Linked DNA regions of Rhinolophus ferrumequinum. The protein of the gene in region 3 purifies or fractionates together with the protein of the main gene of each other region. This does not show direct contact. Links are inferred from orthologs where the notes say so. Each region holds a gene or a part of one and is shown on either strand. Other genes may lie near its edges.

Evidence for each region.
Region 1: the proteins of PPP2R2B (region 3) and IQGAP1 purify together in Homo sapiens (co-immunoprecipitation; 3 studies listed by BioGRID and IntAct, with this or other methods). This does not show direct contact. The link is inferred for Rhinolophus ferrumequinum from reciprocal best matches to the Homo sapiens genes PPP2R2B and IQGAP1.
Region 2: the proteins of PPP2R2B (region 3) and ECSIT purify together in Homo sapiens (affinity purification with mass spectrometry; 3 studies listed by BioGRID and IntAct, with this or other methods). This does not show direct contact. The link is inferred for Rhinolophus ferrumequinum from reciprocal best matches to the Homo sapiens genes PPP2R2B and ECSIT.
Region 4: the proteins of PPP2R2B (region 3) and CDCA4 purify together in Homo sapiens (affinity purification with mass spectrometry; 4 studies listed by BioGRID and IntAct, with this or other methods). This does not show direct contact. The link is inferred for Rhinolophus ferrumequinum from reciprocal best matches to the Homo sapiens genes PPP2R2B and CDCA4.

Annotation. Positions count from the first base shown.
Region 1 is NC_046311.1:3,447,438-3,454,527, forward strand, and holds the start of IQGAP1 (ras GTPase-activating-like protein IQGAP1), read left to right. Parts: upstream 1-4,073; 5' UTR 4,074-4,155; coding exon 4,156-4,210; intron 4,211-5,981; coding exon 5,982-6,081; intron 6,082-7,090. UniProt on the Homo sapiens protein: Plays a crucial role in regulating the dynamics and assembly of the actin cytoskeleton.
Region 2 is NC_046301.1:39,072,635-39,080,090, reverse strand, and holds the start of ECSIT (evolutionarily conserved signaling intermediate in Toll pathway, mitochondrial), read right to left. Parts: upstream 3,020-7,456; 5' UTR 3,014-3,019; coding exon 2,926-3,013; exon of another isoform or gene 2,918-2,925; intron 980-2,917; exon of another isoform or gene 862-979; intron 1-861.
Region 3 is NC_046307.1:19,931,699-19,939,391, reverse strand, and holds the start of PPP2R2B (serine/threonine-protein phosphatase 2A 55 kDa regulatory subunit B beta isoform), read left to right. Parts: upstream 1-4,683; 5' UTR 4,684-4,732; coding exon 4,733-4,905; exon of another isoform or gene 4,906-5,310; coding exon 5,311-5,504; intron 5,505-7,693. UniProt on the Homo sapiens protein: The B regulatory subunit might modulate substrate selectivity and catalytic activity, and might also direct the localization of the catalytic enzyme to a particular subcellular compartment.
Region 4 is NC_046289.1:688,277-695,141, reverse strand, and holds the start of CDCA4 (cell division cycle-associated protein 4), read right to left. Parts: upstream 3,005-6,865; 5' UTR 2,949-3,004; intron 2,748-2,948; exon of another isoform or gene 1,781-2,747; intron 1-1,780. UniProt on the Homo sapiens protein: May participate in the regulation of cell proliferation through the E2F/RB pathway. May be involved in molecular regulation of hematopoietic stem cells and progenitor cell lineage commitment and differentiation.

The DNA.
Region 1 (7,090 bases), on a different chromosome or scaffold from region 3:
AATGTGAATCTGTCATCGGTTCCAACTGTGAAAGTTCTTTAACCTTTTCTGAGAATTTAGTTAAACTCATACATCTGCAAGCAATGATAATTGTTACTTTTTCATGGACTTCTCTCTCTATCTGGTATCTGGCTAGTTCCTTTTAATAGTGATTTCAGAAATATTCAAATGTGAAAAAAAGTGGGACTTATTTTTGAAGAGCTATGGTTTCTAAAATGCTACTGGGAAATAAATGAGGAAGTGAATAATTTAGCTTGGGGCAGGAGGTGACATTTGAGTTGGGTCTGGGAAGTTGAGTAGGAATTTCCCAGGTAGATAAGAGGCTAAAAGATATTCCAGGACCAAAGAAACCTCTATTTTGGTGCTTATCTGAAGCTATCCTGTTAATACTACTCCATTCCTGTGAGTCTGTAAATTCTTCAGGTCATGAACCAATTCTATCTCCCCAAATTATTTCTCTTTTTGATTTTTATTTATTTTTATTTTTTATTTTTATTTTTTTAAGATTTTAATGGGGAAGGGGAACAAGGCTTTATTGGGGAACAGTGTGTACTTCGAGGACTTTTTTTTTTTCCAAGTCAAGTTGTTGTCCTTTCAGTCTTAGTTGTGGAAGGCACAGCTCAGCTCCAGGTCCAGTTGCCGTTGCTAGTTGCAGGGGGCGCAGCCCACCATCCCTTGCGGGAGTCAAGGAATCGAACTGGCAACCTTGTGGTTGAGAGCCGACTGGCCCATATGGGAATCGAACTTCGGAGTTAGGAACACAGAGCTCCAACTGCCTGAACCACCGGGCTGGCCCCTGATTTTCATTTTTTCATTTCATATTTACCAACTTTATATTTACAGTTAACCTACAAAATATCATTTTGAGTAGCTCATTGTAGAAAACTTGGAGGAAGCAAATAAACAAATCCCGCACAAATCCACTGTAAGTCCCCCACCTGGAGAAACTTCTGTTAATATATTGATGTATATGCTTCAAGACTTTTTTCTATTCATATGTGCATCTATATCTATATACTTTTAGAGCAAAAAATCGTATCATAATATATGTGTTAGTTCATAATTTGTTATTTTCATTTAACCATCATATTAGAAGTATTGATCGTTGTTTGCTGACCCAACCACTGAAGGAAGTAATGCTCAGCTCACAGTTTTCTACGGCTGTATCTCCTACCACAGAGACATGCCCAGGGAGTGAAAGGATGAGCCGGGCCAATCATATGCCACTAGGTCATGGAATTGGGCAACTGAGATTATCCTCAATGGAGCTGATGGTGTAAGGATGCAATGGCCTTGACTTAAAGTTATGGCAAACCAGATAGAAGCCAGGGTTTTGGGGGAGCAGAAAAAATTGAAATGGAAGAAGAAGTCAAAGAGAAGAGGGTAGAGCAGACCGGTGGAGAAGCAAAGATGCCCAGAGGGACAAACAGACAAATCCAACGCCTTCAATCTTTCATTCATCCTGTTTTTTGTTGCCCTGGTTCCAGTCCATATGCATCTTTATTATAAATGCTTTCCTTTTGGCCATTTTTTCTCTAGAGGTAAAACAAGTGGGTCTCTATTCCTTGTAACCATTTAACCTGATTAGAACCACACATTGTCACTGTTATCACTGTATGTCATTCCATTGTGTGGAGGTGCCATCACTGATTTAAACATCCAGTGATGGGTGTTTAAGACATTTCCAAGGACCATCTTCATCACTAATTTTTGCACTTTACAAAACAATTTCATTATGATCGATTCTAACAGGTGGAATTCCTTATTTGAAGGACAGCTACATAATGCTAAGTTGGACTTCAGAAAGCTTGTGTCAATTTACAGCCCACCAGCAGGGCATGGCAGTGGTTGCTTTTGCAGCTCTTTGCCAATAATGTCAATTAACAAAACAAGACAAAACAAACAAACAAAAAAGACGTTGCTACTCTGACGAGATGTGGTAAGTGGCCAGTTATGATCTTAATGTGTGTTTCTCTGAATCTTGTGTTTACTGACCAGACATGAAGGCTTTATCATTAGAGGGGCCTGGGTTTGAGTTCCAGCTCTGCCTCTTGCTGTGTGGCTTCAGTTGAATTACTTAGTTCTCCATTTTCTCATCTCTAAATTGGAGATGATAATGGTTCTTATTTTATAGGATTACTATGGGGCTCAGATAAGAAAATAAATACAAAACATTTAGTCCAGTAAGCCTCAGTACACTTCAGTTACTGTACTTATGAAGAGTGACTTAATTTGTGACCATCAGGTAAAGCTATGTGAGATATCTGAAACTCACTAGGATGTAGGATGTTGATTTAAATACCTGTTAAAATTGTATGGTTCTAGGAATAAGAAAGAATGCAAAAGCCCAGTAGGTTCATAATCTTTATCATTAGAGAGGAAATACATTTACCTATTTGGCTAGCACTCATTACAAAAGTCTTTAGAATTAAAATAAAAACATATGTACATATCTCAAAAGCCAAGAAATATGAAATAAAATCAAAAGATAAACTGTGTAGGTAGGATTTGCAGGTTTCTAAGAGTAGTCAGAGGATGAGGCAATGAAAGACATAAAAGACATTTGGAACACTGAGAAGAATGGCTCTGAAAGCCTGCATCTCTAGGACTTGTCTGGTAGAAACCACTGATCAAAACTAATCTGAATTGCCCAGGTTGGAAACTGTCTTAACAGCTGTCTTTCAACTCAGAGAAGCTTTAGAATTAAGTATAGGACGGCTTAATGAGGTAAGAACTATGTGATTAATATGTTTGGGTTAAGAAGAAATATGTGCATATTTTACATTTTATACACTTGCAATGTTTAAGAAAATTTGGCTTATTAGAGTTACAGCCTTGTAACTCTTATTTTAAATGTATATTTGAATTAGTTTTAGACTAGATTTTGAGTTCAAATTTTGATAAGTTTACACATGGAACTGGGCCATCTAACAGAACTTTAGATTCATTATATTTGTAAGTTCATCTGATTTATAATTATTATTAAGCCTTGAACACGTTCTAGGTCAAACAATTGAAGAAATTAAAAAGAAAAGCTATTACGTTTATAGACATGATTTTTAATGTTTGAAGATGTTGAATTAACTAAGCTTGTGAATTGGACCAAGAATTATTAAAAGTTTCTGAAAAGTGGTAAAATATGCTAGACTTAACTGAGCACTTCTATTAATAGAGAAATACAGCAGGAGCAGGCTCAGCGTTCGACACATTCAAGTGTCTGCGGGATTCACAGATGAAAATGCCCATTACACAGTCAAAAATACTGAGTTGGGGCTTCTGCAGGGTCTGGTCTGGAGGTACACAGGTTTATGGCTCTTCAGCAGTTTAAGGCAAGTGTGGAAGTTACTCAGAAAGAGTGGTCCAAGAAAAACCGGAGGAGGGCTGAGGACAGAATTCCGTCGAGTACCAATTATTTTAAGGGCAGCGCACAAGGTGCAAGGGGAAGAGCCATACCCAAAAGGGATAGAGTCCCCTACAAAGAAGAATTTGCAAAGATCAGCGGCAGGGAATCAAAGGGAAGGAAGTTTGGACCAACACAGCTCTCCTGCTTCAGCATTCGCTTCTCAAGTACTAGGGGTTTGAGCAGTGCAAATCTGGCGAGTGCTGGCGAATCTAGGAGAGAACTGAGGCCAGATTGCGCTCCCTTATGGCAGTTTGGGTCCTGCTGTGTCAAACAAGAACACGGTGGGCCACTTCAAAGGACGCCCTCCTAGAGCCCTTTGGTGCAGAGGAGTTTAGTTCGGCAGGCAGGGGAAGGGAGGGAGCCCACGGTTTTTATTTCAAGCCACCGACAATGGCAGCCTTTTCGTTCGAGGTGCGGACCGGGCAGCGGCCGGGGAGGTTAGGGTTCCAGGGCCCGGGTGGGCCTTCCTTGAGGAGCAGAGCTGCACGCTAGCGCGGGCTCCGCCTCCTTCCTTCCACCTCCTCAGGGCGTGGCGGACGGGGGTGTGGCCAAGGGCGGGGCCGGCCGGATCGGGCCCCGCCTCCTGCTGCTCCCGTCGGCAAGGCAGGGCGGGGCCGCAGGGCGGGGCCGGCGGCGCGGGGCGGGGCCTCGGCGACTTGGATAGCCCGCGCACTCTACAGCAGCTGCCGCTCTCGCCGCCCGCGCCTCTAAGGTCTCACCGCTTCCTCAGCAGAGACCTGGGCTTGTCCGCCATGTCCGCCACAGAAGAGGTTGACGGACTGGGCGTATCCCGGCCACACTATGGCTGTGAGTGCGGGGCTCTGCGGCGCGGGGGTTTCGGGGCTGGGCTCTCTGCCTCCCAGGCGCCGTTTTCCCGGGGGCTTGGCGGGGCGGGTGGGGCAGGGCGGCTGTCGGCCGCGCGGACCCGGAAGAGCCGGGGCGGCGGGCGGGAGGGGTGGCGGGCGTCGAGGCCGGCGTTCCGCGCCCCCGGCCTCCGATGCGGCGGGGGGCATCCAGGCGGCCTCCTTGCTTTAGCTCAGGCGCTGAGGTTGGAGGGCCCCACCCAGCGCCGCCCGCCGCCCAACTAGACCGAGATTTTAGGGGACGGCCTAGGGTGAGGTGGCAGGAGGACTGTGCAGGGCGTGTCCCGGGGACCGGAGACTGGAGACCGGGGCTCTGCTCAGGCTTGGTGGGGAGCTGCTGCCCTAGTGCTGCCGGCGAGCAAGACCCAGGGTCCAGACCTGCCCGGTCCCAGGCAATCCCAGAGGTGCGGCCCTGGGCAAGTCACTTTAGCTTTCTCGGGCTCAGTTCCCTCGCCAGGATTTCAAAGTTTAAAAAAAATTTTTTTTTAAAAACACCAAAAAACAAAAACCCTCTGACTTCCTCATTTTCTGTAGCTGTCCCTGGGACGTCATTGACCTGCAGGCGAGATAGTTACCACTGGCCAAAGGAGAGCCCATTGGCGTCTTGAGGTTTTTCAGTTTTATTTTATATCTGAGCATAATGTCCTGTTTTTAGGATAATTTCACTCATCAACAGTTATATGTGAGGTATTATGTTCCATTTGTGAAATTAAGGGTGAGTTAGACCAGGCCCTGCCTTCAAAGAACGTTTTAATCAAAGAGACAGGTGCACAACTCAATGATAATAAGGTATAATAAAGATAAAAGATGGGTGAACTAACTTGGCATAAACAGTAGGGTGGGTGAGGAGACGGGCTTGGGGAAGGGAGGGGGCCCACAGGTAGTGATTTAAACAGAACCTTGAGACGTTGTGTCAGGTTTGACAGGGCAGGGTAGGGCAAGAGATGTGACTGAAGAGGGAAGAGCATGAATTAAGGTATTAAAGAGTAGAAAGGCACTGTGTGTTGGGAACTGAGTGGTGTGGAGTGCACAGTGGTGAGCAAAAGGGCAGGGAGAGGGAGAAGAGTTTCCAAAAGTAGTTGGGGCTAAATTGGGAAAGGTCTTGAGTGCCATCGGAAGGAATTAGTAATTTATTCCATACCTTGGGTGCCTAAGCAGGAGGTAGATTGCTTCAAGGTTAAGCACACAGGTTTTTGAGATAGACTGTCTAGATTTGAATCCAGGCCTCACCACTTAGCTGTGGGGCTAAGATCACCCAGCCTCAATTTCCTCATCTGTGAAATGGGAGTAATAACAGGATCGTCGTGGGGCTTCAATGAAAGAAGGCAAGTAAATGCTTAGCACAATTACTACCACTTAGTTCTTAATGACTGCTGGCTTTAGTTCTTGATAAAAGAGGGAAACAACATGATCAGCTGTGTATTTAGAAAGAGTTTGGCAGGTGGGCTAGGACAGACTTGGACCAAAATCTCAAGTCATTATTTTTCAAGTTATGTTAAAATTTAGTGTTCATACTTTTAAAAAAAGGGTAAGATGAGTATAGTTGAAACCCCACAGTTCCTGTTTTAGGAAAGTCATTGTAGAACACCTGGCTACCACACATTCATAAGTTACCCTGACTCTAAGTGACTAGCAGACTTTGATTCTGTGGCATTCTTTTATCGCCCAGAAAGTTCACAGATTCTTGTGTTCATATTCTTTCTTTCATATTTTAGCTGTCCTGGATAATGAGAGACTTACTGCGGAGGAGATGGATGAAAGGAGACGTCAGAATGTGGCTTACGAATACCTTTGTCATTTGGAAGAAGCAAAGAGGTAAAGATTGGCTGGCTGGAGAGAAGATTGGCAGTAGGGAGCTGATATGGTGTGAATACAGATAAAGATCTCTATGTTGCAGATGTGATTGAGGGAGGCTGCTAGTTTGAAGGAATAAGTATAGGGAGGGTATTTATTCATGGGAGCAAGTAGCCTTGATGGCAGTTTATCATGAAACACTGGTGGCCATTTCTGTATACTGGAAAATGTCCAGATTTGTGTTCAGTTTTATGCCTGTGGTACATGTTTGGGTCACTACCAGCTATGGGAGAGGAGTAACATTTTTATGGTTTGAATTTATTGGCTTTAATGTTTCACTGATTCTTCACTAGCTTTGATTTATGTATGAATTGGGTTCCTTCTCCCTTGGTAGTGCTATCCCGTGTTTTCCCGAAAATAAGACCTAGCCAGGCAATCGGCTCTAATGCGTCTTTTGGAGCAAAAATTAATATAAGACCCAGTATTATATGACCCAATCTTACAGTAAAATAAGATGGTCTTATATTAGTTTTTGCTCCAAAAGACGCATTAGAGCCGATTGTCTGGCTAGGTCTTATTTTCGGGGAAACACGGTAGGTATAGGTCCATCCATTTGGCACTATGCAAAGGCAGCATCCTCTACATTCTTTGTGAAGTGCAACTGCTGTTTTTCCTTTTCAGATGCTCCAAGACCTCGTGGTCTTATTCTTAGAATGTCGATTTGCTATCAGTGGTTCATTTCTTTTGTTCTGGTACTGTGTTCCTTTGTAAAATCTCAGGGTAGATAGATGTAATTACAGATCATGTATCCTATAAGTGAGCTCTGGTGGAAAAGACAGCAAGGGATAGTGAAAGCTATTTGTCATCATAGTCTAATGACAATCAAGGATGTTTCAAATGTTGCTAATAAAAGTTTTTAAAAAAATCTGAAAATATTCAAATGCTACAGAAAAGTCCAGAGAACAGTATAATATCCATGTATTTCAGAACTAAAAAATGTTAGCCCTTTAGATCTTTCCCTTTCCTCTCA
Region 2 (7,456 bases), on a different chromosome or scaffold from region 3:
CTTGTACACTGCAACTATGTAGAATTCACTTATTAGCTCTAATAGATTTTTATTTGACTCCTTAGAATTTTCTACATTTAAGATCATGTCATCTGCAAATAGAGATAGATTTACTTCTTCCTTTCCAATCTGGATGACTTTTCTTTTTCTTGCCCAAGTGCCCTGCCTGGAACCTTTAATACAACATTGAATAGAAGTGGTAAGAGCCACTTCCTTGTCTTGTTCCTGATCACAGGGAGAAAGCATTCAGTCTTGCATCGTTAAGTATGATGTGAGCTATGGTTTTTCATAGATGCCCTTTATCAGGTTGAGGAAATTCTCTTCTATACCTACATACTGAGTGTATTGGATTTTGTCAAATGCTTTTTGTTGCATCTATTGAATTAATCATGTGGTTTTTGTTCTTTATTCCATTATTATGATATATTATATTAACTGATTTTCAGATTTTAAACTAACCTTGCATTTCTGGGATAAATTGCACTTGATCATGGTATACAATCCTTTTTTATATGTTGCTAAAATTTGGTTTGCTAGTATTTTGTTGAGGATATTTACGTCCATATTCATAAGAGATATTGATCTGTAGTTTTAGTGTCTGGTTTGGTATCAGGGTAATGCTGGCCTCATCAAATGAATTGGGAAATGTTTAGATTATTCTGATCACTATTTAAACTTTCTCTAGCATCTCTCATCTTGACCTGAAGTCTCCCTTCAGCCTCTGCTCCACATCTCTGCTCCCTTTACAGCAAAGCTTTTCCTGAGAGGTGTCTACATACTGTGTTCTACTCACTCCAACTTGGCTGCTGCACTAAACACTCCACTAACACCATTAAAGGTCCCTGTGTGTTCTAAACTTACCAAAGCCAGTGATTATTTCTCAGGCCTCATTTTGCTTGAGTTCTCAGTAGCATGTGGCATGGGTGAGGCCCTCCTACCATCTTCTTGACAATCTTGATTTTCTTCCTAGCACCCAGGTCTGTTTCTCAGCTAATCAGCAAGATCCACTTCCTTCTCTAAAGTTTACAATGTTTGCAAACTTGAATGTGTGGACGAATCACCCGGGATCTTGTTAAAATGCTAAGTCTGATTCAGCAGCTCTGGTGTGAAGCCAGACTCTTACACATCTAACACACTTCTGAGTGATGCTAATGCTACTGATCTTACTTAAAGACCACACTTTAAGTAAGAAGGCTACAAAGAGTACTACATTCTGAATTTGTCTGTTTACTACTCTGAGGTGTCATTCAACTTGTTCCTCTGTTCTTTGTATTCCTGTGGGCAGTTCATGTTAGAGTCATCTAGGGAACTTTAAAAAATTGCCATGTCCAGGCCATACTCCCGATATATTAAATCAGAATATCTAGAGGCAGGGCCCAGGCACCAGCATTTTAGCACACGCGAGTGACTCTCATATACAGCTAAGATTAAGACCTTAATTGAAACATTCACTACTCAAAGTGTGTTCCAGGAACCAGCTACATTGGCATCATCATCTGGGAGTTTATTAGAAATGCAAAATCTCAGCCCTAACCCAGACCTACTGAATCAGAATCTGCATTTTAACTAGAGTCCAAGTTTCTTCTATGTGTGTTAAAGTCTGAGAAACGATGATCTATGTGCAGATGAATCGAAATGTTTATCGCCAGCTGTGAGCACCGTCCTCCATACCTAATTGCACTTCGGTATATACTCAGCCATCTCAAACTTAATGTGCTCTTAATTTGTATCCCTGCTTACACTTGTTCCTCCCCATCCTAGCCAATGACACCATCATTCCTAGTCATTCTACCACAAACCTAGGATTCACTGATGAGTCCACTGTGTCCCTTATTCCCCTATTCAATCCATATAGTCCTGATGACTACTTCCAAATCCATCCCAAATGCATCCACTTCTCTCCATCTGCAGGCCAACACCCAGGGGCCTCTTTCCCATCCTCCCACTTCTTTCCTTACTTGTCTCCAGTCAGTTCTCCCAACCTGGGCCAAAGGAAGCTTTTTAAAACGTGAACTATGTTCAGCATTCTCTGCCTAAAATTACTAATGATATATCTTACTTAAGATAAAATCAGACAGTGTATACCCTTCCAAACTCAACTCTTACCACTGACAGCTCCAGCTACCTCTATCTTAAACAAGCTAAGTTTATTATAGTCTCAGAGCCTTTGCACTTGCTTTTCCTTCTGTTTGGAAATTTCTTCCCCCGATCGGTCCACAGGTGTCTCTGGTCATTCAGGTTTATATTCAAATTAGAGGCTTCCCTAACCACTGCTGCCCCACTCCCTATCTAAAGCCTCCATCACTCTGATAAATGCATTTTTAGCTCCTAGTAGCATCTGAAATCACCTGTTCTCTTTCTTTCTGACTTGTTCAATGTCTGGCCCCTCCCCCCGCCCCCAGGAGATGACGGATTTTGTCTGTCCTCCTCATTGCTGTGTCTCCAGCACCCGGAACAGTGCCTGGTAAATGATAGGTACCTAACAAGTATCGGTGGAATGCGAAGAAGAGCTAAACTTCTACAAAGCGTCTATAATCCATAAATCTGAATCCCATAGCCAGGTGTACCTACAGCAGCTTTGAGACCGTCTGCCAGGATTCTGGGCTTCTTGGGAGAAACGGGCAAATGGGGGTTTGAATACCAGCCTAGCTGCCGACCTGCGGCGTGACCTCGGGAGAGGTCCTTAACCACGCTGAGCCTCAGCTATCTCATCCGCAAAATGGGCAATTAAGGACAGGAAGAGGCGGGTGCACAGAGGGAGGCCTTTCCCCGCACGTCCCAGCCCCGCACCCTAAAAGGTCATGGTGCCCTGGTTCTGCAGCCGGGTCCCTCTGGGCCCGCCCTTCCGCGCTGCCGGTCCAGAATGGGCCTCCCCGGGGTCCTGCAGTTCGCGCTCGCTTCCCCACGCGCGACCTACCTACTCACACGGGTGGCCGCGGAATCCCAGCCAGCTGCCTCTTGCCGCTGGGCGCCGCCATGTTGCCCGGAGAGCTTCCAGGTCATGGACCACCATGGCCACAGCAAATCAAGAACGCCGGTGTAAAGAAGTCCCGTCCAAAGGGGATGACCACCAATAGGAAGGCAGATCGACCTTGGTACCGCCTAGTAACGAGCTAGGCCCCACCCCTAACAAGGCAAGCCACATCCCTGACCAAGCGAATTGAGGAATATGGCCGGGGAAGGAGTGAGAGGATCGTTTCCGGGTTGGGAGGCTGGACTTGGGGACGGCCGTGAATCCAGTTGGCGGTCCGTTTACCCACGTGAAATGTGGGAATGAAATATTAAGGGTGCAAGTATCCCCAAACGTGTTAAAAATGTAGTGTGTGGGTCCCTGTATTTATACTTCTCCCCTCTGTGCAGCATGTCCATGATCACCGGATAATCCCTTTACCTCCGGGCAGGGCGACAGTAGAGATGGTGTATCTGGCATCCGCCCCGCTGACTACAGGAGCTGGGCAGTCGGACATAGGAGGTACCTGGAGCGTGGATGTGGCTGCAGCGCAATACACCTGCCCATCCCTATGGTTCCCCCCCTCTTCCGTGGTTCAGCCTCCTGACTTTGTCTTGCGCCAAATGAGCTTCTGGGTGCTGTGGGGATAGACTCAGGAGTGCAGTTTCCAGGCTCTCACCTTCATGTGGAAAGGTGCTCACTCTGGTAGTAACTGGCCATCAACTGTGATTGGATGGCTATCAGCTGTGGCTAGTTGGCCATCAGCTGTGGCTAGTTGGCCATCAGCTGTAACCAGTGAGCCATTGGCCACTAATGTAACTGCTGTGGCTACGCTAGCAGAAAATGGGGGCTAGCAAAAGGACGGTGGCTGAGCTAGCAAGAGTGGATTGCAGTTAGCATGGCTGATTGCAGCTAGCAAGTGGGGTTGGTTGGCAGAGAGAAGTGGACGGCAGTTTGAGGATAGTGTGGCTCCTACTTCCTGTGTCTCCGTCCCAGCAGTTGGGGAGAATATAGTGGTATGACTCCCCAATAATGGCTCCGTGGGTGTTCCTTTTTGGCCTCACCATATCCTGCATTCTAATGCGGGGAGTGGGACCAGAGACCCCGCATGACACCCTGCATGACAGCGCTCAGCCAGCGCGTGTTCCACAGCCTCACGTGGGCTCAGAAGCACCTTGGAGTCACGCAAATGCCTCCAGGAAGTGCGGGGCGGGACCTGAGGGCCTGGGTCTAACTCCCTTTTCCTCCTTCACTCCCCGCCCTGACCTCCTGCCCTGGTGCCCGTCCACCCTCCTCTTCCTGTCCATGAGCGCCCTCAGGCGGTACAAACTGCTCTCCAAGGAGAAAATCAAAATCAACCTCACTCCATGAGTCAGCTGGGCCAGGGAGGATGTTCTCCACACCACTCCCACCCCTGCTCTTCGCTCCTGTGGGGGCAGGGAGCTAGTAGCATGGGGAAGTGGGGTGGACACTGCTGAAGCTGTCCAGGTGAGGAAGGGTCCCCTCCAGGAAGGTTCTCAGAGCTAGGCTAAGGAGCCTCATGGGCCAGCCCTCTGTCTCTCTCTACCCCAGCCCTGGCAGAGGTTGACTCAGGGTCTTGACCCCTCCATGCCAGGCCCCCAGTTACCCTGTCCAGAGCTGTCCAGAATTGGGGGACAGGGGGAGTCAATGGACTCCCTGCCCCGGAAACTGTGGCTGATGCTTCTGGTTACCTGCTCCATGGCAGATGGGGTACAACTGTGTGGGCCCAGGGTCACATTCACTTAATCCCTTGTCCTCCTCTGACTCCTGCCTCCCTCCAGACCTCGTGCTGATCCACCACAACTAGGCCATTAGATGTTCCTAGGTTACCATGCAGTTTCTCTCTTCAGCTTTCACCACTTGGAATAAAGACCCCTGGAGACACCCCCCACACACTCCACCACGACGTACTGAACATCTCCTGTGTGCTTCTTTAACATAAGCTCCATGAGAACAGGGCGATTTTGTCTGTTGCATGTGTTGTCACCAGCATTAGAGACAGGGCCTGGAACATGGTAGGTGCTCACTAGATGTTAGTTACAAAATGAATAAATGAATAGATGAATGTTCTTTTCATCCTAATATTTAAACCTTAGAAACTGTCCCTTGTGAGTTGTCACAACTGTCCTGATGCTCACCCAACCTTTAAACCCCAGCAGTAACACCTTTAAATCCCTTGTGACAGTACCATGTGACTGCCTTTGCATGCCTAATTACCCTACCACTGCCTTCCCCCATCTTTCCCCAGCTCCAGAGCAGCCTGCATTACCTCATAGACCTCTATGCCAATTTGTTTGCTCACAGTCCTTTGTCAGTTTGGGATACTTGGATTTGGGGACATGTGATGGCCTTCCTGCTCCTCTCCTGCATTCCCCTTTCCCTCCCTCACCCTGATCCCCACTCTACTGTCCAAAATTGGTTGCTGAGTACAGCGAACTGCCCCTACAATTTGTTAATGGCCTTACTGAGTGGTGTGCCTATGGCTGTGGTCTGTGTAGCTGGCATCAGTGTGATGTTGTTTTAAAGTTTGAGGGGTATTGACTTTGGCTACACTGGTCGTGGGCATCCTCAACATGCTGTGAGTATACCACATCATGCTGTCCAGAGCATGAGGCAGGGAAGCCCTCACGTCCCAGAGCAGAGTGTGGGAAGGTGTTGAAGAGATGTGGAAGAGCTCCCCTAAACCTGCTGTAGACTTGGACCCAGGGCCAGAATGGTGGAGGCTGTGCAGAGGAACCTGAGGCTGTGCCCATCCCACAACCAGAAGGCTCCGATTCCCTCAAAAAGCATTTATTGAGTGCCTCCTTACAGCAGTGAGCACAAAAATATTCCTGACCTTGGGGAGCTGGCATTCTAATGGGGAACACAGACAAAAGACCCATGTTCTACAGAAATATTTTACAACTATTTGCAGCTTGAAAAATATTAAGTGCAAACTCTAAAACTTTTGGATATGATTTCGTCTATCATCTTGTTAACCTTAATCTACTTTTGAACTTCGAACATATTACCTTTTGTTAACATTTTTCAGTCCTTTTTGCTTGTGTGTAGAGCTTTACTCTGTGTTCTGTGTATTAATTTAGTTATTTAGATTTATGTATTCAGTCATTCTGCCATCTAAAACAAAGCTTCAAAATACATTCATTATACATATTTTAAAACAAATACGTGTTGTGTGCTGGATCCAGAGGGAAATATAAAATTAATTTGAAAAAGGAAAAGAAATTTAAGTTAGCCAAATGCTTAGAATTTTATTCCAAATTCATGAAGTAAAAATGTAAAATGTTACATGTGATTAACATAATGGTTATTATAGATTAAGAATTTTTTTAAAAAAATAGCTTGAGCTGTGTGGCAATTACATGGTATATATGTGTATGTAAAACTTCATTGAGCTCTCCATTATTACTTGTGCATTTTACTTTAATATTTCAATTTAAAAGTTTTAAAAAGTGATAATTGATTCATTGAGCTTTAACTTGTAGAGTTTTCTCTATACATTATATACTTTAAAAGTCTATTTAAACACATTACATCCATTAGAATGGCTATTATCAAAAAAGCATAATCTAACAAATGTTAATGAGGGTGTGAAGAAAGTAGTACCCTTGCACACTGCTGATGGGAATTTAAAATGGTTCAGCCACTATGGAAAACAGCACAGTGGCTCCTCAACAAATTAAAAATAGAGCTACCATATGATTCAGCAATTCCACTTCTGGATATATACCCAGAAGAATGGAGAGCAAGGACTCAAACAGTTGCACACCTTATTCATAGCAGCATGATTCACAATAATCAAAGCAACTCAAATGTCCATCGACAGATGAACTAATAAAATGTGGTATGTATATATAATGCAATATTATTCAGCTTTAAAAAGGAAGGAAATTCTGTCCTTTTGTGAGATAAACCAGTCACAAAAGGACAAATACTATGTGATTCCACTTATATGAGGTCCCTGGAGTCGTCAAATTATCATAGAAACAAAAAGTAGAATGGTGGGTGCCAGGGGTTAGGAGAGGAGGAATAGGGAGTTAATGTTTAATAGGGACAGAGTTTCAGTCTTGGAGGATGAAAAAACTGAAGATGTATGATGGTACACAACATAAATGTACTTAATACCACTTAAAAATGGTAAATTTTGTTATAGATTATACCATAATTTTTAAAACGTCTACTGAAAAAAGATAAGGGGTAAGAAATTAGGTCAGATTGAAGTGATGAGGGAGAGCTCCTGGGCTCCCGGAGAAAGCTTCAGTTTTAGGCTGTTAACCTAAGTGGACTAGCACATAAAATGCGGGCTTGGCAGTAGCAAAGGCTCTAGGCAAGGATAGTTATCTGCCCCCATTAAGAAAGCCATTTCTGCAATACTTTGGCTTCCATGACGCAGGACACCGGCAAGGGGACGGGAAGATACACGCAGCCAGCTTAGGATGCCTCAATGACTGCGCAGTGGCAGCGCCTCTGCCCTATCAAGATTCC
Region 3 (7,693 bases):
ACCGTGCGTTTACATTGGCAGCACTGTACAAACAGCTCGGTAAGGTTTCATGACCTTTGTATATCAGTGTCTCACAGCTGTGTTCGTGTCGATCTGTGGCAGTGTCTTGCTGAGTGTGGTCATTATTGTTGTTGCGTGTTTTTGTGTGCTGTTGTGAGAACGTCTGAGCTTGAATTAGAGCAACGAACAAACATTAAATTTCTTGTTAAACATGGCAAGAGTGGAAGTGAAATCAGAGACATGTTAGTTCAAGTTTATGGGGATAATGCCATGAAGAAAACGGCAGTGTACAAATGGATTAAAGGTTTTTCTGAGCGGAGAGAATGTGTCACTGGTAAAGAGAGGTCAGGGTGGCCAGTAATGAGCAGAACTGACGAAAACACTGCAAAGATTTGTCGAATTGTGCATCAAAATCATTCGCTGACTGTGAGAAGCATAGCAGACCAAGTAAACATCGATAGAGAAACAGGGAAATCTTAACTGAAAATCTTGGCATGAGAAAGGTATGTGCAAAAATGGTCCCAAAGGAGTTCACAGATGAACAAAAAGCAAAGGAGAGTTGAAGTTTGCCAAGATTTTTTGAAGAGGCAAAACGATGTGTTTTGGGCCATGTTATCACTGGTAATGAAACACAGGTGTACCAGTATGACAATACGACTCTGAAACAAAGAGTCAAAGTGCACAGTGGAAGTCAGCCAATTCCCCACAACCAAAAAACTTCCATCAGTCCAAATCAAGAATCAAAACGATGTTGCTAAACTTTTTTGATATCAGAAGGATTATTCATTATGAATTTGTACCAACTGGACAAACAGTTAACCAAGTTTACAATTTGGAAGTGCTGAAAAGGCTGCGTGAAAAAGTCAGACGACCTGAACTTTCTGCCAATCCATAGCTCTTGCATCACGACAATGTACCCGTTCACACAGCACTGTCCGTGAGGGAGTTTTTAGCCAGTAAACAAATAACTGCATTGGAACACCCTTCCTACTCACCTGATCTGGCCCCCAACGACTTCTTTCGTTACCCGAAGATATAGGAAATATTGAAAGGAAGACATTTTGATGACATTCAGGACATCAAGGGTAATATGACAGCTCTGATGGCCATTACAGAAAAAGAGTTCCAAAATTGCTTTGAAGGGTGGACTAGGCACTGCCGTTGGTGCATAGCTTCCCAAGGGAAGTACTTCGCAGGTAACCATAGTGATATTCAGCAATGAGGTATGTAGCAATTTTTCTAGGATGAGTTCACGAACCTAATTGTCAAACTTTGTATGCATACAAAAATGGGTAGAAACAATTATTTTAATAGGAATAGGACTTACAAACTAGAAAATTACTGGCTCACAAGTTTTGTTGGCGGGGGGGGAAGGCAGTTGCAAGCATTTTAATAAGAGTGGAGCATAGAACCTAAATGTCACTGAACAAATCCAGTAATTTACTCATTCATTCAAGAAATATTTATATTTATTTAACCAATATATACGTGCACATCTACTAAGTGCCAGATACTTAATATCAGAGATACATTGGAAATGATTGACAATAATAAGTAAACAGCTATTGCACAATGCATTGTGCCATGAAGAAGACCAAATAGAAGATGTAGAGACAGAACAACCAGAGGGAGGGACTACAGTGTGGTCAGGGAAATTCCTCAGTGACGTAGAAACAATTCAGCTGAGGTGCTGAAAATGCCAAGAACATGAGAAAGGGGCATAGGAATGTGCAAATGCACACGCTTTTGGAAAGAACTTGCCACGTTGGAGGAATAGAAAGGAGGTCAGCAGGTCTTCTGAGAAACCGTCCATGTAGTCCCTCTTGCCACCACAGGATTAGACAGGGCTTTCCCCACTCCCTTACCTCCTTTACTATACAACATTGTATTCAAGTATCAAGCCAACAACTTGATTTTTCTTGGTTTTGGAGGGGCGGGGCTAGTTCCCACCCCTTGGTTGCTCCTAGTGGAAAAGAATGGTCCACAAAATGGAAAGCTTGGAATCTAGTTAACCCAGAACTGTGTCGTAGGGGGAAAAAATGCTGTATGTTGAATAAATGTAGGAGGAATTTTTCAGGAAACGTGAAAAGGAAAATTGAGTAAGCCCAGAGGCTTTATCTACGGAGGGGACACTCCTCCCAATGGTCACAGTGGAAAATTCCTCAAGCACAGCCTGGCCAATGAGCCTGGGCCTACCCACTTCATCTTTGTTCCAATCTCACGCACGGTCCAGGAGGATGGTGGGGGTGAATTTCCTCAATACTATTTATTTCAAGGTCTCCAGTCACAACCTCTGCTCATTTCAACTGAAAGCAAGATGTCTTCTCACCACTTTGAAATGAACTTAGCTATTTTTCCCCTCCATCCTTTCTCCCTGTTCCCCATGATGCCAATCTGCCAGAGAAGCTAGATTGTATAACTACAGATGAGCTGACCACTGGAGCCATCGGATGGATACAGCTCATCACGTGGAAGAACCACCTCGGCAACTGGTGCTGAAGTGAATTACATCGACTTGTACCAGTCTTCTTCTCTTCCTGGAATTTCATCCGTGAATTTTGAACAAATACCGTGTTTCCCCGAAAATAACACCTGGCTGGACCATCAGGTCTAATGCATCTTTTGGAGCAAAAATTAATATAAAACCCAGTCTTATTTTAATATAATATAAGACTCGGTCTTATAGAATAGAATAGAATAGAATAGAATAGAATAGAATAGAATAGAATAGGATAGAATAGAATACCGGGTCTTATATTAATTTTTTTTTTAATTTTATTGGGGAAGGGGAACAGGACTTTACTGGGGAACAGTGTGTATTTCCAGGACTTTTTTTTTCCAAGTCAAGTTGTTGTCCTTTCAATCTTAGTTGTGGAGGGTGCCGTTCAGCTTCAAGTTGTTGTCCTTTCAATCTTAGTTGTGGAAGGCGCAGCTCAGCTCCAGGTCCAGTTGCCGTTGCTAGTTGCAGGGGGCACAGCCCACCATCCCTTGCAGGAGTTGAACCGGCAACCTTGTGGTTGAGAGGACGCGCTCCAACCAACTGAGCCATCCGGGAGCTCAGCGGCAGCTCAGCTCAAGGTGCCGTGTTCAATCTTAGTTGCAGGGGGCGCTGCCCACCATCCCTTGCGGGACTCGAGGAATCGAACTGGCAACCTTGTGGTTGAGAGCCCACTGGCCCATGTCGGAATCGAACCGGCAGCCTTCGGAGTTAGGAGCACAGAGCTCTAACGGCCTGAGCCATCGGGCTGGCCCTCTTATATTAATTTTTGACCCAAAAGACGCATTAGAGCTGATGGTCCGGCTAGGTCTTATTTTTGGGGAAACACAGTAGTCAAACAAGCATGTGACTCTTAACCACCAGATGAGAAGAACATGGAATCTATTGTAAGCTGAACTTCCCCCAAAACTTATATCAAAAAATATCCCTACTCTCTCCTCCCAGAGACGCATCGACGCTTTCTGGAGATGGGGACAATGCCATTTCCCACCTGCCAGAAGCATCTATTCTTCATGGATATCTAATGGCAATTCCCAGCCTCAGTTAAGGACTTGTTTTCCTGTTTTTTTGAACTTCAAATACTTTCTAAATTGTGTTAGCCGAACCATTGTATGTATATAATTAACTCACAGGCCCCTCTGGGCTCATCTTGCTGAACTTGTGGAGCTTAACTGAGCAAGACATTTGCTGTTTCTCCCTGCAGTGACACCCACTGAAATGAATCCCTTCTACAAGAGGAAACCGAGAAAATTTCTTTTCCAAATTGGCTTTCTAGTGACTGGGGTTGCATCATAAATGATGTTGGTTGTTTTATAACAATAAAGATTTAATTTTCTTTCAAATAACAGAATTCGCAATTTGGGAAAACATAGGTGGGGGCAGGAGGGCATTTGGTATTTTCCTCCTAGTTGAAGTAGGAAGACAGGCCACTTTTTGTGTTCATTGGATCTTTGAAATTTCCTCGGGGTAGCAATGGCTCTCTGCGGGCACAGGGCTCCAAGGTACCTTCCCTGTTGAGAGCAAATGTTGTCCTACCTTCATACGCCAAACCTACAGGAGGGCCTGCAGCAGTGGGTCTGCAATAAAGTGCAGGGTGTAAGAAGGTGGACTCGTTTAGCATTGACTGTGTTGAGTAGATTCATCTCAGCCCTCTGCTTCCCTCTGCCTGTGTAAACATAGACTCCTACAGTTAGAAAACGTTCAGGACTGGGAATGTGGAAGTCAGAGGTGATCGCAGAAAAGTTCCGGCCCCTCTCCCCAATTCTGTTCCTAACACAGAAGGTTTAAACTAAGCGCTGGGAAGCTCTTCTTCCTATTCTCTCCTCTCTTTCTGAGGCTTCGAAAACCAGGCCTTGCCCTTGAACTTCATCAAGGGGCTGCACGCGTGCTATAAGGATGAGCCAAAGGGACCTCGAGATAGGCTTCCTGCCTACCCACGGCAACCCACTTCTCTTTGAGGTCCTGAAGCGCCGGTGTCCGGAGAAAGGCAGCGAGTAGGGGCTGTGGGTGCTAGAGTGAACGCCGCCCTTAGCTGCGTAGCACCGAAGGAGGGAGGTGGGGCGCGCGTCTGTGCTTTTACCGTCTGCAAGCGAGCTGCTCGCTGCCCAGGTGCCGGTTCGCGGCTGCGTGCGCCCCACTACAGCAGAGAGCAGCCGCAGCCTTAGCGTCGGCCACCACCGCTGCTGGGGAAGAGTCCTGGGGCTGCTGACGCGGTTGGGAGGAGCCTCGCCTTTAATGCATCAGCCGCCTCCAGCCTTCTGCAGCAGCAGCTGCGAGCGCGCGCGTGTGGGTGTGCGGGTGAGTGCGCTGGAGCCGGCCGCAGTACCCTGCCCAGCTCCCCGCCGGCTCCCTAGCCCCCACCAACCGGAGCCGCCCTCCCGTGGGACCAGCACCCTCACCCGCGCCGGGCCAGGCTGAATCCTGCCCCTGCCATCTCGCCACTGCAGCCCAGGTCCAGAAAGGCACCATTTTGTCGCGGCTGCCCGCTCTCCCAGGGGGAGGAGGGATTTTTTTTTTTTTTTTTTTTACATTTTCGGAGCGGCTGCCAACAAGGGGAACCTGTTGGGCATCTCCCTAGCCCCGCTTGTGAGCGCCGCCGGGGCAGCGGGCGGAACCAGCCCCCTCGGGGCACGGCGCATCTTGGCACCGGAGGCAGCGGAGGCAGGCGCAGCATCCTCGCTGGGAATTGGAGCTGGAGTGAGCGCACCGCGGGAGGAGCCGCCGCAGCCTCGGAGATCCCGAGTGGAGGAGGTGACAGCTCCATTGCCGGGTTTTTATTTTTTTTTCTCTCCGCCTCCCCGTCTCCTCCTCAGGCTCGGACCATGGTGCAGTCCCACTGGCTCCCCTGCCCCCCTCTCCTGTGAGACTGGCTGCGGGGAGGGATCATGGATACTTGTCTGCCGGCTTCTGGTTCCCACGCAAGTAAGCCTGCTGTCAATGGAGGAGGACATTGATACCCGCAAAATCAACAACAGTTTCCTGCGCGACCACAGCTATGCGACCGAAGGTAACGCCAGCCCCGCCGCATTCCGCCGCTGGGGCTGGGAGCAAGTTGAGGATCGCCGTGCTCCGCGGGCTGCTGGGCGCGTAGTGGCGGAGATACCTTCGGGCCCCGGGGCTGGGGCGGGGGCTCGGCTCTCAGGGCCGGCCACCAGGGCGTCCCAGATCCGTCTGGGCTCCGCGAGGTGAGCCCGGCGTTCAGCAGCAGGTGGACCCGGCGCCCACGGGAGTTAAAATGGCCCTCAGGGATTAGGCTTTTCAGGGTGGGGCTCCCGGCTGGAAAAATGACCCCCAGAAGGCAGATGACCCCTCCCCCAAGATGTTTGCAGGGGTCTTTGTGGGAGACAAGAAGGAAGGGGCCCAGAGGGACCGTGGGTCCTCCCCTCCCTGAGCGGAATGTTGTGTCTCTCAGCGGCTGCAGGGAGGGCATGGTTTCATTTCCTGCCGGTTCATCTCTCTGGCCGGGTTACCTGCTCAGACAATCAAAACCCCAAAAGGCCCTTTGCAAAAGGGCGACCCCTCTCCCCTTGGAAGTGCATTAGTAAGAAATGAAAAGGTGGCTGGGAAACGGTGTTCCGGAGGCAAGCGAATGAGTCTGACACGTGGGGAAAGCAATCCGAGCAGCGAGGCCTTTAAAAATCACCATTATGAATTCTGCAGCAGTAGTTTCTGCTGAATCAACAGCCAGCAGAAAGCAAGAGGGTTCAGTAAGCTGAGCTTTGCCAAGAGGTGAAATTGTCTTTTCTCTCTCTCTCTCCCGGCTTGTTCTGAGCTTAACCTAAGTGCCATGCAGGCAGGCAGGGAAAGGCAGCAGGTGGAACTCACTCCGCCTTTTGTGGGTGAATAGAGTGGAGGCATTCTTTTTAAATACCAAAACTTTTGTATTTTTGCTTTCATTTTCTACCTGTAGGCCTTTATCCTTAACCACTCACATAAAGTGTTGCGTTATCTCATTGTCATGTCCCTGTGAGAAAATGTGTTGTGAGAGTGCTTTAGGAAAATGTAGCAAGGTATGCAATTTAAGATTATTCTTAATCTTGGATGCTAAAGTTTCTATCGTATTTAATAAAATCAAAACTACTACGGGAGTATGATGGGGGGAGTAAAAGAGTTGAAGTGCTGGAAGAAATAAGACGACACAATTTGTGGGTAAAAGTGGCATCTTCTATAAACATCCCTGGAAGTTTTAGAAAGAAAGAATGCCCAGCTCTATTGAAAATCTCCATTCATCCATTATTATGGGAGAGCAGCAAGCCTAAGACGTCCATGGTGTTAGGTTATGCAGATCTGTGTGAGCTCTGGCCTTTAGGACCTAAGAAATGGCTTTAGCTCCTTCACCCATACCAAACACCATACTTGCTGATTCTTTTTATTTGCAATGTGTTTGTAAGATGTTCTTTCTCAGTCTTAGTGCTTTGTCACTGACTCAGTTGCCAGGTACAATATGATCATCTCTATGTCTGAGCATCCAAGAGAGAAGTTGGCCTTGGGTCTGTTGGCTTTTGGGAGCGGGGAGAGGGGAAGGACACTTCCTTCTGTTTGTGACAACAAAGAAAGAGCGCTGCCTTCGTGTTTTCTTACGCTATGCCTTCCAGTGCAGGCAAAGGAAACTTACTGAGCTGGGAAGACAGGCAAATTGGGGCCCTGTGTATAGAAGTGTCATCTGTGGAATGAAGAAAGGAGGGAAAAATGGCATTCCTTATTGCTTTCTGGGCTCTAATCTTTGTTCCTGTTTTATGGCATTTTTGTAAACTCTGATTCTGGATTAAATATCTGGGTTCATATAGTCAAAAATGAGGCATGAGTTCATAGCAAAGAGCGTTCTAAAATCTTTCTACATCAACCTCTCAGATATCTCTCTCTTTCTCTGTTTCTGTCTCTGTCTCTCACACACAAAAGATGCTCAAAACTAAACAAACCTTTGTTTCACTGTAGACTTACAGGTGTCTTTACCTGATCGTGGTGAAGGTCTGGGAAGAAAACAAAATGGAACTTAGACAATGTTAACAGCAGAAGTTGGTTAGACCAGGAAGTTGTCGGTAGCTTTAATGTACTCATTTTAGGGGACATTCATGCATTCATGCTGGCCAGAGGGAAAGGTCCTTCACCTGAGAAATACCTTAGAAGTGCTGTACAGCTTGAAAGAGCACCCAATCAAAGTATTCTTTGTTAAAATCCATGTGTTTTCGGGGCTTG
Region 4 (6,865 bases), on a different chromosome or scaffold from region 3:
ACCCAGCACCCACTCAGGGTCCTTGCACAGCCTGCTGCAGTCAGACCTCTGGCCTGAGGGACAGCCCGGGAAGCTAATAACCTCCCTGCAAGTCAGGCTTATAGTGCAGACAGTTAGGGAAGCCGTCAGTTACTGATCAAGCCTGTAAGATCGGGTCTTATGTTAATTTTTGCTCCAAAAGATGCATTAGAGCTGACTGTCCGGCTAGGTCTTATTTTCGGGAAAACACAGTGCTTCTGTGAGCTTCTGGAACAGGCACAGCTGACCCAAGTGTAAGACAGCACGCTGTCTGGAGAGAACTGGCCAGGACAGCGGTGTGAGCGGCGTGGCTCCGAGTGCATGCACTGTCACGACCAAGAGGCCTGCACATGGCATCTGTCCTGTTCACTGTCCCTGATGCACAAAAGGGACAAATAAGTTGATTGGGGAGGCAACCATCCACTGAAAACAACCACTTCAGGTACTGCCCACTGCACATGCAGCAGGACAAAGATACATTCAGTCATTCTGAATCCCTGCTCTTATGTCCCCAATGCCAGCCACTGCCGGTGCTGTTCCACTTCACAAGAAAGCAGGCAGGCTGACCCTACAGAAGGGAGGAGCTCAAGGGCAGGCCATGCGCCGGGTGAAGGGGTCAGGCTGAGCCCAGGAGAAGGGCCTCAGACACGTGTGTTTGGGGCAAAGTCTGCATGGCTCTGAAGTGACCCTGAGAAGTGGGGGGGCAAAGATGAGGACACAGACCCCTCGGTGGGCCTGGCGCAGCACAGCTCTCGGCGAAGCCCAAGTGACTGTGGCCTGAGGGTACTGAACCCTTCTAACACGGGGACCCAACGAGCTGCTCTGAGGCTGTCCTAACTGCACGGCCTGACTCGCATTAATTCTGAACAAAACTGTTAGGAATTACCCACCTCCACTGTCGCCACAATCGGCCGGAAGGTGCTGCTGCGTACCTAGTGAAATGCCCCAATCCCACCAAGTGCTCAGGGTTGCAGGTATTCCACTCGAAACCCCAAAGTCAACATGCAGGACTGCCCCTCAGCCTCCTCCAGACCAAGCGCTGACCAGAGAAAGCAGAGGGACTGAGCAGTTCCACATGGCACATGGAGCGAGGAGGATGCTATGCCGACCCACTCAGAGCCTCCACGGAGAGAGAACCCAGGCGGCCAGGCCGCCTCACACCATATGGCCGGTGGGAAATGCCGATCCCCAGATTCCACGCAGTAGGGCTGGGACAGGCTCGAGCCGTGCCCGTGACCCTCCGCCACTGCAAGGCACTCCTGTGAGTGCAAATCACACCACCATCAGATTTGCTGTGAAACGCAACATTCAAGGGAGACAAGATGGAGCCGCGGGCAAGGTCCCCAGAACGGTGCCCAGGTGAGACGTGGTGCCCTGGGCCCTGCTGCTGTCTGACATTTCTCCTAAGATGTTTCTACAAAATGAATTTCAGGCACTTTTGTTACCTGGAATGAAATACAAACTTTCTTTGCCTGTGAATGTTCCACTAGCAAGTGAGGGAAACTTGCCTGCCCTCTTTCCAAGATAAACCTGCAAAGGTCACAACAGACGTTTTATTCTGAGTTTCAACTTTAATTATAAAACATGGCAAACCTAAAAATAGAGCAGTTGTATGTAGGACATTTATAAAACACTAAACTTCCTTTTTCCCTTGGCTCCTTTGAAAAGAACCATGAACTCAGGCCTGCAGCACACATGCTACCAGCGGAGGAAACGCAGCGGGAAACACTGCTGGGACCGGAGCGTCTCCCAGCAAACTTACCTGGCTGGAGGGGTCTCTTCCTGGTGATCCAATAAGCTCTTGAAAATGTAGAGCCGAGCTTGTTTTTGACCTGTGGAAGCGAGCTCCTGGTACCTTTCCTAGTCACAGCGGCTGCCTCCCATGGGACACGAGCCGGGCGGGCAGGCACAGGAGCCCACTGCACACAGTTCACTTGCCCGGCTCTGGGAGTCCTCCTCTACCCCCCCCCCCCCCGAGTCTACGCTGGCCTGTGCAGAGCCCCAGCTTTAGACCACCGGGAGGCCAGAGGCCGGCACCTAGGCAGGCGACTCCCTGACCAGCCGAGAGGGTCTACTGCAGGAGGGCAGAGGGAAACCACTGAAAAAGATCCTTAGCCTTCCTTCTCAGAGCAATTAAAACAGGAAACAAAGGAAAGGAACACTCTCAGGCCGCCCTGTGAAAGGTGCCCCCGACCCGGCCATTTGGGACGGCATTCGATTACCAGCGAAACCGAGCTCTGCTAAAACGACGGACGGTGAAATCGCAGCATTTGATTGCTAACCTCCTTTCCCACAGCCCATTCCGCAGGAGTGCAGACTGGGAAGGAAACCGAGACACGGCCACGACGGGTCACGACCGCCGGGAGGAGGAGGGGCCGCCACGGTCCCCACCGGGATTCAGGAGGGTCTTCGTGGGGGCCTTAGGAGGAGCGTGCGCTGACCTTTACCAAGTCACAGGGAAGACGGTGCGGGGGGTTCCCGACGGAAGCCGGCACTGCACGAGCCGCCCAATACACCCCCGTCCAGTGTTTGTCCTAGTAAAGGGCCCCCACGCGAGGAAAGACACTGGAGCCCTACTTTCCGGGTAGTGGTGCGGGACGGCGAAAGTTTAGGCTGTTGGCAGCACGAGGTGAATCCCCGGTGGCGTACGACTCGGCGGGCAGGCGGGGGCCACCGGTCGATCGGGTCGCGCCCCCTCCTCCGAGCGCCCGCCGCACACCCTCGGGTCCCCCCCAACTCCCGAGCCGCACCCTCGCCCCCGCGGCCGGGCCCCTCCCCGGTCCCCTCAGCCCCCAAGCTGCCCCCTGTCCCCCGGCCGCCGCCCTCCCCCAGCACCCCAGGGTCGCGCGCCGAGGGCCGCCCGCACGTGCCAGCGCGCCCTCCGGAACCCGCCGAGGCGGAGGAACCGGACGCCGGGGTCGGACGCTCACCTGGCCTCCAGTCGTCTGCGCCGCCGCCCGCCGCCGAGGGAGGGGCGGGACCGGGGCGGGGCGGCTCAGCGCCCACAAAGAGTCGCCAAGGCACCGCCCACCCCGCCCGCTGATTGGCTGAGCACGGGGACGGGGCCTCCGATTCAAACCGGGGGCGGGGCCTGGCTCTGGAGTTCCCGCGCGGCCGCGTTGGCCGTTGGGCTGGAGCCCTCAGCGCCCCGCCCCCACCGACTCCCAGGTCTCCGCGCGCGGCTCTAGTGCGCCTGCGCTCTGCCACCCGGGGGCAGGGCGGGGCGGGAGGTGTGGGTGGGAGAGGACCGGAAGGGGGACGGGAGGAGCAGGAGGATCAGGGAGGGGCTTTAGGGAGTTAGGGGCGGGGCTTTGGGGAGGGGAGGGGAGAAGGGCGGCGGAGAGGGCGAAGGAAGAGGAGGGCAGGGCAGCAGCTCCCTGGACGGCACGGGTCACAACAGGGGCTTCCCAGGTTTACATGTAAGAAATTAAACGGTCGACTGGCCCAAAAATAACTCTCAAAACCATAAAAGTAGAAAACGGGAGTTTGTTTTTTACATTATTTCTTAGTGGAAAAGGTCTGAAATAGGATACAAAATCCAGAATCCGTTAATCCAAGTAACACTTCTTAAACGCAGGCGGGGCTGCAGTGCTAACCCAGTAAAAGCCGCCTGCCCCCCTGTCCTGCGCTGGGCCCCGACCACGGTGGGAAGTGCTGCCAGAAGCCGAGGCGCGGGGCCCTGAGCGCGCAGGCCTCCAAGGCGGCGTCTGAGAACACGCCCAAAAGGAGGGAGGGGAAGAATTCCAGGCAGAGGGACCGGCTGGACCAGTCGGGAGGTGAGGCAGGAGGGGGGCCTGGCTGCAGTGAAAGGGAGTCTGTCACTCAGAATATTTAAGAGAGTGTGGGCTTTCCTCGCAGTAAGATGAGAGACCATTGCTCAGAAGAGGGGCGGGTTCTGAACTGGGCTTGAAAAGAATCACTGTTGAAATTGATTGGGGGAGGCGGAAGTAGAACGTCCAGTTAGGTCACCGCAGTCCTGGGGTGCAAGTCAGTGGCTGTGATAAATGTGATGACCTAAATATTTAAAAGGTATGTCAAACAGGGAAAGTCTAGGGGAAAATTTTGTTCCCAACCATATGCCACACAAAAGACTGAATTTCTTAATACCTGGATATTCTGCAAATAGAAAGATCAACAAACCAGCAGAAGGTGTGAAAAGGATGTTGACACACGGTTCAGAGCAAAGGAAGAACATGCTGGTAAGCTGGCGGGAAGGCACTGAGCCTCAGAGCAAGAGCCACGCAAGTGAAGCTAGGTGGATTTCCACTGTCAGACTGGCAAAGATCAAAAATGCCCTCTGGAGTAAGGTGATAACTTTCCAGAGCCTTCATTCTTTCTCACTCAAAATTTCCAGCATGAAATTAAAATTAACAGGACACAAGAACAAAACATGGCAAAAAAGGGGAAAAAACCCCAGATAATAGACTCATGGTTGGCTGTAATATTAGCGTTACAATTGTTTGTTTATTTGTTTTAAGGAACTGTTGTATTCAAGAAAATTAACGACAAGGTGAATAAAGAATGAGAGAAATAACATTAACCTTATACAGAGCCTTCCAGGTAGTGAAGAAGGAATTCTCCCCAGCTTATCAGGAGCCGGCTTAACCTCGGTGCTAAAACTTGAGAAGATAACAAGAAAGAAAAATTACAGGCTAGTCTCTCTTGCGACCATACTTCAAAATTCCAAACAAAATCGTAGCAAATCAAACCCAGCAATAAATAAAAAAGAACACATCACTACCAATTAGGTTTATTCCAGGAATGGAAAGCATTCCAGAAATGCTTTAACATTCAACAAACCAATGTAATGCATCACATTAGTAAAATGAAGGAAAATAAAAAAATAAACATCTCAGGTGGAGAAGAATTATCTGATAAAATTCAACACAAATTCATGATAAAATACTTAGGAACCTGAAAGTAAGGTGCCAGGTTAGCAGCAGTCCACAGGACCACCCTTGGTCCTGATATTCACTGCATGTTTAGGGGTCACCAAGACCACTGTCAGCTTCAGTAATTCACTAGGACTCAAAAAACTTGCTGAAAACTGTTACACTCACAGTTATGATCATTAGCGTGAAAGCTTACAGATTAAAGTCAGCCAGGAGAAGTGCATGGGGCAGGGTCCAGGAGGGTCCATGCATGGAGATGGCACACCCGACAGCCTCAGGCCCCTAGCTAACAGACACCACTAGCAGTCAGGACATCCCAAGAGTTTGGAGATCACCTCTCAGGTTGCCAGGGCAAGGACCAGACCTGGCCTTGGGCATGGATCACTTCTTCACTGCACAACAAGGGACCTCCCTGTAGCTGAATAAAGTGTATTTACAAAAAACCTGTAGGAAATAGTGTAATGTGTGGACTAAAACGGGGTCACATAACTAAACCTGACAAGCTCAGGAGAGCCACATGGCAGTGACAAGCTCAGTAATGAGAGTGACCACACAGGATGGTCTGAACATCAAAATTCCTAACTAAAGGCGGGTCGTGGCGGGTAGTCACGTCCTAGGCCTGTAGCTTCCTTGACAAAGGTCACTCTTTACCTGAAGTGAGCCTGTCTGTTGTCTTTTTGCATCTAAGATAACATACCTTTGAAATGTCAGAGGAATCTCCTTCCCCCGACCCCTCAGGGCACAACCTCCCACCAGAGCCCAGACCACAGACCCCCTCACTATTATTTTGTTGTTCCCATACCATCTCCACATGCTTAAGTGTTCATTGTTGTCTGTCCTGTACCCACCCGTGTAAAGGATTGTGTGTCTCTCCGTTTTACTTTTTATCCAAGAGATCTCCCCGCTTTGCTTTCTCCCACCCCTTTAACCTACCACCCATGGATTCCATAGAACCCCCTTAGTCTCCTTCTTTGACTCTAATGTATAAAATAAGCTGCAAAACTGCTGTTCCCTGGAGCATTTTCTCAATCCCTTGAGATCCTGCTTCCCAGAAATCATCAGTTTGGCTCAGAAAAACTCATAAAAGTTATCCACAGTTTGAGGCATTTCTTGCGTCAACAAATGCCTAGTGAAACAGTACAGATGTGGAAGTTCCACCCTGTGGTCGGGAAGGTGTCTGCTCCCCCCACTCCTGCCCTACCTTATGCTGTAGGGCCTAGAGCCAGAAAAAGAAGCAACAGGTATAAGATTTGAAAATAACTAAAATCATTATTCCCTGAAGAGAAGGTTTCAAATGTAGAAATGCAGAAGAATCTTGTCGCAGCCGGCTCGGCGCCGTAACAAAATACCATGGAGGGTGACTTAGCCACAGAAATGTACTTCTCATCATTCTGGAGGCCAGGAGTCCAAGATAAGGTTCCAACAAGGTTGGGCATCTGGTGACAGCTCTCCTCCTAGCTTGCAGACAGCAGTTTAGAGAGAGCCAGATAGATAGCTCTTTCTCTTCTTATAAGGCCACCAATCCTACCAGATCAGCACCCCACCCTTATGACCTCATTTAACCCCAGTCACCTCCTAAAGGCCCTGTTCTCGAAGACAGTCACGTGTGAATTTGAGTGGGACACAGTTCAGTCCATAGCAAATCTCCAGATAATAAAGATCAAATTAATAAAGAATTAAGCACAACCGTCAGATAAACAGTCAATACATAGGAAAATCAATTACACTTTTATATACAAGTAACAAACTATTTTTATATTAAAAATTTTTTTAATGATACCATTTGCAAAGTATCAAAAACATCAGCGCCCAGGGATAAATCTAACAACAAAACACAAGGCCTAAATGTGGAAAAGTGCAAATCACGGCTGAGAGAAATTAACAACTCTGTAAATGGTAGACGAATATACCAGGGCCACAGATCAGAGGACTCATCTTGTCAAGGTGTCAGCTCT